Linked DNA regions of Coturnix japonica. The protein of the gene in region 1 purifies or fractionates together with the protein of each later gene. This does not show direct contact. Links are inferred from orthologs where the notes say so. Each region holds a gene or a part of one and is shown in the gene's direction. Other genes may lie near its edges.

What was found.
Region 2: the proteins of CDYL (region 1) and MIER1 purify together in Homo sapiens (co-immunoprecipitation; 3 studies listed by BioGRID and IntAct, counting the BioPlex papers as one, with this or other methods). This does not show direct contact. The link is inferred for Coturnix japonica from reciprocal best matches to the Homo sapiens genes CDYL and MIER1.

What each region holds. Positions count from the first base shown.
Region 1 is NC_029517.1:63,734,603-63,738,932, forward strand, and holds the start of CDYL (chromodomain Y-like protein), read left to right. Parts: upstream 1-1,354; 5' UTR 1,355-1,527; coding exon 1,528-1,551; intron 1,552-4,330.
Region 2 is NC_029523.1:25,756,573-25,760,380, forward strand, and holds part of MIER1 (mesoderm induction early response protein 1), read left to right. Parts: intron 1-605; coding exon 606-682; intron 683-981; coding exon 982-1,054; intron 1,055-3,051; coding exon 3,052-3,203; intron 3,204-3,734; coding exon 3,735-3,808. UniProt on the Homo sapiens protein: Transcriptional repressor regulating the expression of a number of genes including SP1 target genes. Probably functions through recruitment of HDAC1 a histone deacetylase involved in chromatin silencing.

The sequences.
Region 1 (4,330 bases):
TGCACTGTTCAGCAGTAGAGTAAGTCTTCCTGGTGCAGAACAGGGTAAGAAACACTGGAATGAGTGTCTCCATTTGGTATAGCTTTTGTCCTGACCTTGGGCTGACTGGTTTTGTCCCACCCTTCTACCTTTTAAGACCAGAAACACCACCTTGCAGAATCTGCTCTTGAAGGAGTGACTCTTCGTGTCTGACTTGGCACAACAAGGCATCCAGTCCATCAAGTTGGCAGTTGACTATAAGACACCTTATTTGCACAGTTCCCCATGGAACACCCTAAATGAGATAGTCGGGTGGCAAGTTGCATTGAGTAATTCATGCCGGCACCAAGAAAGACAAGAGCTCAGCTGTCTTCCTTTGACCCTCACGCCTGCGAGGCCTCAGTGGGGCCTTCCCTACACCGCAAACACTTGTCAGATGCAAGTCTGGCGCTTGCGGTCGGCAACGATCGGTGGGGACACCTGATCTAGTAAATGTGTGTGTTTGGTGGCCCTGCCAGGCAGGGGGGTTGGAACTACATGATCCTTGAGGTCCTTTCCAACCCGGGTCATTCTGTGATTCTGTGTGTGATTCTGTGTGACCGGCCGTTCCCCTCGCCCATTTCCCTTCTACATTCGCCACGTCCTTGGTTCAGACAGACCTTCTGCCAACTGGCGTCGGGTTGGAAAACCCACGGGGACACTCGCCACGGGCTGGGCCCAGAGGGCGGCGGGGGTCGGAGCGGGGCGGGTGCGGGAGGGCGACTCGGAACTCCGCGCTCGTCCCGCAGCTTCGGGCAGCGGCTGCTCCGAGCCCCCCGACCGCCCGCGGACCCTGCCGGGCGGACAATGGGAGATCAAAGCCCGGTGGGGGGAGGAGGAGGAGGAGGAGGATGGTGGTGCTGGGGGCGGCGGTAGCCGGGGCGGAGTGGTTACGTGTGGCGCTGTCTCTGCGCTCGATTAGTGTTCCTGGGGAGGGAGCGAGCGAGCGAGCCGGCCGGGGACAAGCGGGGTGGGGGTGCGGGGCGCGCCGCCGTGTGCGCGCCCGCCCGCCCCGCGTGTGCGCGCCCGGGTGTGTGTGTGTGTGTGTGTGTGTATGTGAACGCGCGTGTGTGTGTATGTGAACGCGCGTGTGTGTGCGTGCGTGCCCGCCCGGCGGGGTGCGCGAGGGGGAGAGAGCGAGGGCGAGCGGGGAGCGAGCGAGTTGCGCAGCTGCGGTGCGCACAGCCCCGCCGCCAGCAGCAGCAGCAGCAGCAGCAGCAGCACCTCAGCGGCACGGAGCGAGCGGAGCTGCTAGCTGCGCTGGAGAGAGACGCGCAGGGAGGAGGAGGAGGAGGAGGAGGAGGAGGAGGAGGGAGAAAAAGAAGAAGAAGAAGAAGAAGAAGAAGAAGAGGAGCAGGAGGAGGACAGGAGCAGCAGCAGGAGGAGGAGGAGGAGGAGAGCGACGGAGAAGACGGGGGAGGAGGAGGGAGAAGAGGAGGCCACACGGACACCAAGTGGAACAAAGTATTTCCAAACCAGCACCCAACTCCACCTTGTGAGGCTCCCAGCATGGCTTCCGAGGAACTCTACGAGGTAACAGCCCCCGGGCGTCCGCCCTGCCCCCGGCCCCGCCGGCCACCCTGCCCCGCCCGCGGCTGCGGGGGGACGCGGTGCTCCGATCTCCCCCGTCCGCCGGGCCCCGACCGCCGCCGGCCCCCCGCCCCGCTCCCCTCCCCGGTTCCGCCGGGGGAGGACGGAAATGTGAGCGAACGGAGAAGACGGCGAAGTGCTGCCCGTGGCCTGCGCTCCCCCCCCCCCCCCCCCTTCCCCGCGGCACGCAGCCGCCCGCACGGCACTTCGGCCCGGCGGCAGCGGGGAGGGAGCGCCCTGACAGCCCCCCGGGCAGCCCGCTGTGCCGCTCCGAGTTCTCGCCGGGCGTCGGGCGGAGGGGGGGGCTCGGCCCCGATCCGTGTCCGTCCCGGAGTCCCGTGCCACCATCGTGCGCCGCCGCCGGGCGAAACGCCGCGATGAGAACTCGGGGCGGTGCGAGGAGGAGCGGGGCTCCGCACACCATCCCCCGCCCGCCGGCGTTGGGGGGCACGGGAGGGTGAGACTTCGAATTTCCTGTCCCGAGAGTGTGTCAATTTCACATCCTTGCCCTTAATTGAAAAGCATGATGGTCCTCTTGGATTTAACTTCCTTGTTTTTATTTTTGCAAGAAGTCATCCCTGGGAGCGAGATGAGGTTGTCGTTTTCTTGTCTTTCGGTTGAATAAATAGTCTTCCACCGAACAAGAATGCTTTTATCTGGTGGGTAATAGGCATCTCGGCAGTGCTCTATAAAAAATATTTATATCCATGGGCTGGAATGCTAAGGTCAAAGCAGCCGGCTGGCCTTCAGGACGCTTGACAGAAGGCGATAGCTTCCCGTGCTGGTGGTGTCTCCCACTGGTGGGATTGCATCCCTGTGTTGAGGTGGAAGGCTCCCCTTTAGAGATCGTGTTCTATGTGAGTCGAGTGCTGAGTGGAGGTGCTGAACTGCTGGACGGGAAGACTGGAGGCCTATGTTCCCAAGGCAGATAGATCGTGGCTAATTGCTTTGGCAAGTTTCCCCACCCTCGTTGCATGGCTTAAGCCGGTCTTGAAGGGATGATCTCTGGAAGTAGGTGAGAAATTTAGAGACTGCTCTCCATAGAGGAAAATTGCCCCGGCTTTGCTTTGACTTCAGGAAAAGTTCTGTCAGGCTCGAAGAGTTGGGCCTTTAGACCGTGTTGTGGCCAGTACTTGAACATTATATCTTTCTGGATTTGTTCAATGACTGACAATGGGTTGTCAGTTTTGATTGGCGTAAGAATGACCAGAAAAACTGTTTGTTGGACATCGGGCTGAAGTTAACTGTGACCGCTGCTTATTCTTTTGCTTGGTTGACTTGTGTTGGAAGTGTTGGCTTGTCTGAAAGGTTCTGGTAGGCCATTGACCGTGGTCATTCTTGCTAGGCAGGCAAGGTGCTCAGTTCCTTGGGCAAAAGCCTGTATTTCAGAACACCTGAGGTGATAAACTGCTCCGTTTAATTTTAAAATCACTCACATTGTTTCACCATGTAAGTGCAAACTTTATTGGAGGCGCTAAAATTATTGATGCTTTTGGACTTGTGGGTGGTCAAGCTGTCTCTTTTGCAATCTCTTTTCTAAACTGCTGATCATTTTTGACCAATTTTATGCTGTAATGCAATTTACGGAAATCACGGGTGATTGAAATGTAGTGAATACTAACTTGGGAAGTACACAACTACAAGTTGACCTGAAATGATGAACATTATGTAACTTAAACCTTCTGTGAACTACCACGTATAAGTGACTGTTTCGTGGATATTTTCTTTGTAATTAGTGCTATGTGGTATTCTTTTAGACTGGTTATTGAAGTCCAGTGTAATTTGGTTTATCTCTTATTTTTTCTTTTGAATCTTGATAGCGTGTTTTAAACAACAACAAAAAAAGTGCTTAATCTATTTGAGATTATTAGCTAAAATATGAACTACAGCTGATAGGTGTTGTGGTTCTTCCAAAGTATAAGAGAGAAATCCTTGTGTAACAATAAAGGTGAAGGTAAGTACCTTTAAAAATAATAATAAAAATTAAAGAAAAAAGAAGTGGATTAGTTGTTTGTGGATCGATTTTTGCTTTTACTGAGAGTTTAATCTCTGGAGAGTGGGGGCCTAACTGTAGGTCAGTGATTGGGAATTGAAGGATAGAAACATGGAAGAAGTGCTCTTGCTGGCTGAAGGGGTGGCATTGTTGGGCTGACTCTACATCCTGCATGTTTGTTTCTCAGCTTTCTCAGGATTGTGGTAGTAATGACCATATATATATATATATATATATATATATATATATACACACATGATGACCGTAAATATATTTTTTTTTATTTTTTTTTTTGAGGGGGGAGATGATCTGAAGAAAATGTGAAGCTTGTAATGAAAAGCATTGAAGAGGCTGTCTTTTCTAGATGAAAAATGAAACACTCAGTAATCTTGCCAACCTCCGTGGGTGAGGCTAAGAACATAGTTCTTCTGTTTGTAAGTTTGAGTTTTCAAGTGACAACATGTTGGTGAGGTGGACAGAGTTGGAGAAACTGGTGAACAAGACAGCGAAGGGAAAATATAAGCAAAAGCGCTGTCTTCTTTTTTTGTTGGTTTATTTATTCACTTCTTTCCTTTTTCCCAACTTTTGGAGAAGTCGGCAAGCACTCGATCTACTTTCTTGTATGCTGTGACAAGTTCACTTTACTGTCTGTATCCCCACCTGTTGTGAGGTTGTTGATTGTTCTCATCGTCTTCCTTGGAATACTTAGAAGTACAATCCCCGCACCAT
Region 2 (3,808 bases), on another chromosome or scaffold:
GTACTGTACATCTCTGAGCAGTACATCCAAGCCTACTAAATCCCAGTGAGGCTCACAGAAGCGTGCTTGTGAATTTCTTGTGTGTTGTGTTGTAGTTTACCTTAAATTCAGTGACAGCTGCTGTAAGGGAGAGAGAGCAGCAGCAACAAAGTGGTGAGCTTATCGAAATGGGGTTGAAATCCACGTGTGGATGCTGAGTGTGCAAGCAAGAATACTTTCAGGATGTAACTGTGTGTTGTAAATGTGGACAGTCTCAACTGCTTCACAGCTGAGTGAGGGAAAACAGAGTTTTATTAGGAAGGACTAAAACTGATGGATGCATCCACTTGTGCCTTCACTTTTCATAGCCTGCTGTGTATCTCAAGCCGTTCTAAACACAAACATTGGGTGGGTCGTTTTTAAGGCAGTCACTGCTGGAGCATTAAGCAGTGCCAGCCGGCCTGCCTTCCATGCTTCTGCAGCGAGAGATAAGGTGGCAGGGAGGCAGAGTGGGGCTGCAGCACTGCCTGTGTCCACCCCTCACCCCACGGCACTCCCAGTGGCTGGCTGCAGCCCCAGCGCTGCCCCAGCATGGCTCTGTGTACATGTTGGCTCATTTCTCCTAGACAGTGAAATAGAAGAGGAGTCTGAAGAAGATGAAGATTATATTCCCTCAGAAGACTGGAAAAAGGTAAATATTAAGGTCGGTTATCAAACTCAGTGTTCTGTGAATAATGAGCTGAGCTGCTGCCTAGTAACTTTGATCTAAAGATCTCATAACTCTTCTCCCTTTTTTTCTCAACAAATGTGAGTGTTTTTGTAGCAATAATGTTAAAGACAGTGAAAAGTGTGTTTTTTTCTAATGCTTATTTACAGTTGTTTTAGATTTTGAGCGATGAAAGCTTTAAGAGAGAAAGGATGATACAGACATATTTTCACTTGCTAACAAAAAACTGCAAGGCTGGGGTTGCTTAACTTTTGGTGTCTGTTATTTCCAAACAGGAAATCATGGTGGGCTCTATGTTTCAAGCTGAAATTCCAGCTGGCATATGCAGATACAAAGAGAATGAAAAAGGTGAGCCTCAGCATTGCTTGCTACTGTGTGTCGGTTCATTTCCTAGTGGGAAACAATAACAGATATGTTGCACTCACATCACATGTCTTGTGGAATGTAACAGCTCTTTCAAATGAAGAATAGAACCATCATCCCAGACTGTAGCTCATCGTGTACTTCAACTCTAGAGCTTGAGACTTGGAAGGGTAAAAGATAGGTGGTATTGCTGTCCTATCGAGTCCTTGCATTCTAACCTGGTAGTTGAGCCAAACTTTTCGTATCAGTTATGTTAACCTCTTCACGTGGTTTGTTCCGTTTATGTGAAATGGATAGTAAAGAAATGATGGTGCTGGATTAACCTGTCATAGAGATGAAATGGTGCCAGCAGCTTTGTTTTCACATCTTACAACTCTTCAATCATCATTAAAGAACTTCTTGTTCTACTACTTGAGTGTTTTCCAGGAGCTCTTTTCCTCTTACAAGCAGAGCCTTTGGCAGTATGCTGTTAATACAATGAAGCAAGGAAAGGCAGACTCACATAAACCCAGCTTGAGCTTAAAAGCAGGAATTTCCCTGCTCACTCAACCCATTACCAAGAATTTGTTCACACTGCAGGTTGGTTTGAGACTGCAGCTTTTGTATGTTAGTTTTAAACTAACCAGCAGAAACAGTGCAGCCCCAGAACCTGAGAACATACTCGAGTGGTGACAGTTGTCTTGCTCTAGGTGCCAGGTTGCTGTAGCTGTACTGCGGCCTGGTCCCAACAGAAAATGGAAACGTGGTCCCTCCTGGTCTTGGCCAAAAACAGGCCAACAGTGGGGCTGACACTGAGAAGAACGTAGCTTAAAACCAAGTGAGAATTCAGGAGCTTCTGTGAAAAAGGGAAAATGGTAAATTAGAAAATACAGATACATTAAACGCAACTTTTTAGCTGTGAGGAAGTTGCTCCTTGCATGCTTTGCTGCTATTGTCTAAAAATAGAGTTGGAGTTACGTATTTACCTGGGATGTGGCAAATTATGCTTTATGGATCAGTCACCTGCTCTCTCACATGTTTACTCAGCTCTGAATGGCTTCTGGCCTCCAGCAATAAAAAAGGGCTGCTTTATGCACTGCACTAACCTATGTAGAGCAGTTTCTCATAGCCTTGCGCACAGGTCTGTGCAGGATGCAGAACCTAAGCCATGGGCTAAAACTGTTGAGGAAGAAAGTTAAATTTTCACCAGTGTTCTGGGGTTGTTGTAGTTCTGTGTATCAGTGGGGTTTGTTGTCTGTTGCCACTTCTTTTCCTTTTCAGTGTTTTAAATCTTTTTGCCAGGGTTCCAACTGGAATATGAATGCAACGTAGTTAAAGAGTTCAAAAATAAATATCTGGGACTGTATGTTGAGTATTTTTTCATGCACACATCTCATCATTCTCGTTCTTCAAGAAGTCTAGTCCTCTTGGATCCCCCCCCTTATAAACAAGTGCACAAAAGTACTAGCTCTGAAGATGAACCATGTTGCTTTTTGGCTGCTCTGACATGCTCTTGTGAGAAAGGGTGAGCCCAGTGTGCTGCATGAAGCTAATGGTTCTCGGCTGGGCCTGGAGGACCAGCAGCTGCCATTAGAGAATTTCAACCAGCAGAATTCAAAGATGTGCTTTCAGAAGGCTTTGTTTCTCTTCTGAAAGTTTTGCTTGCTGCCATCAGTAAAACTGTGATGCTTAAATAGAAGTGTAGGGTGGGGAGTTCTGGGCTCTGGTTCTGCTGCCTTGTGATTAAGTAGCATCTGTCAGGAGGACGCACAGGTGGAATTCGTGGAGTATCATGTTCCCAGAATCCAGAGCAGAGATTGAAAGACAGGGTAAGGTGTAGTGTGTTACCCATGGGATCATGTTTGTGAGCTGGTCTTTCACCTGCCCTGAGGTGTGGATTGATGCTGATGCTCCGAGGCTCCATCAGTGCTAGCTTTACAGGAGAGGATAAGCTTCCATATTGCTGTTTCAGCTTGCTTCTCTTTTTCCTCTGCTTCCTGCAGTGTATGAGAATGATGACCAGCTGTTGTGGAATCCTGATGTCTTGCCAGAAGATAAAGTGATTGAGTTCCTAAACGAGGCATCACGGCGCACAGGTGATGAGAAGGGCCTGGATGCCATTCCTGAGGGATCGCATATTAAGGACAACGAGCAGGTACGTGGTGAGAGGTGGCATTTGTAGTTTAGTATTACAGAATGAATTATCCCTTTATTTTATTATAATCCCCACAATTAAAATTGGGCTTGAAACAGCTTATTTATTGCTTTTGGAAGTAGAAATATCATGGGTTCCTTCCTCTCGACAAATTCTGGACTGCTAACTTTGACTTAACCTTGTGTTAGGCATCAGCATGTGGTTTTGTGTGTAAGTAATCGCGCGTGAGTTCTTTCAATTGCAGTTTTTTTGAAACTTCATGAATTTTCTTTAAAGAAGTCAATTTTGGAAATGTGTGCAGTGGGTGAAAGTGTTGAAATACTTCACTTGAGTTTATGCTTGGTTGCGTAGGTAAGAGCTGTGGAAATTTAACCAGGAAGTGCTGTCTTAAATTGTAATGCAGCCCTTCAAACAGTTCATTTTTCACCTTTTTTGAAGTAAGTCTTAATACTTTATGAAGGATGTTTCTGTGGCACAGTGTGAAATCAGTGTTATTTAGAATACTAAACATATGTCTTTTTGTCTTTGCAGGCGTTGTATGAACTGGTTAAGTGCAATTTTGATACTGAAGAATCTTTACGAAGGCTGAGGTTTAATGTGAAAGC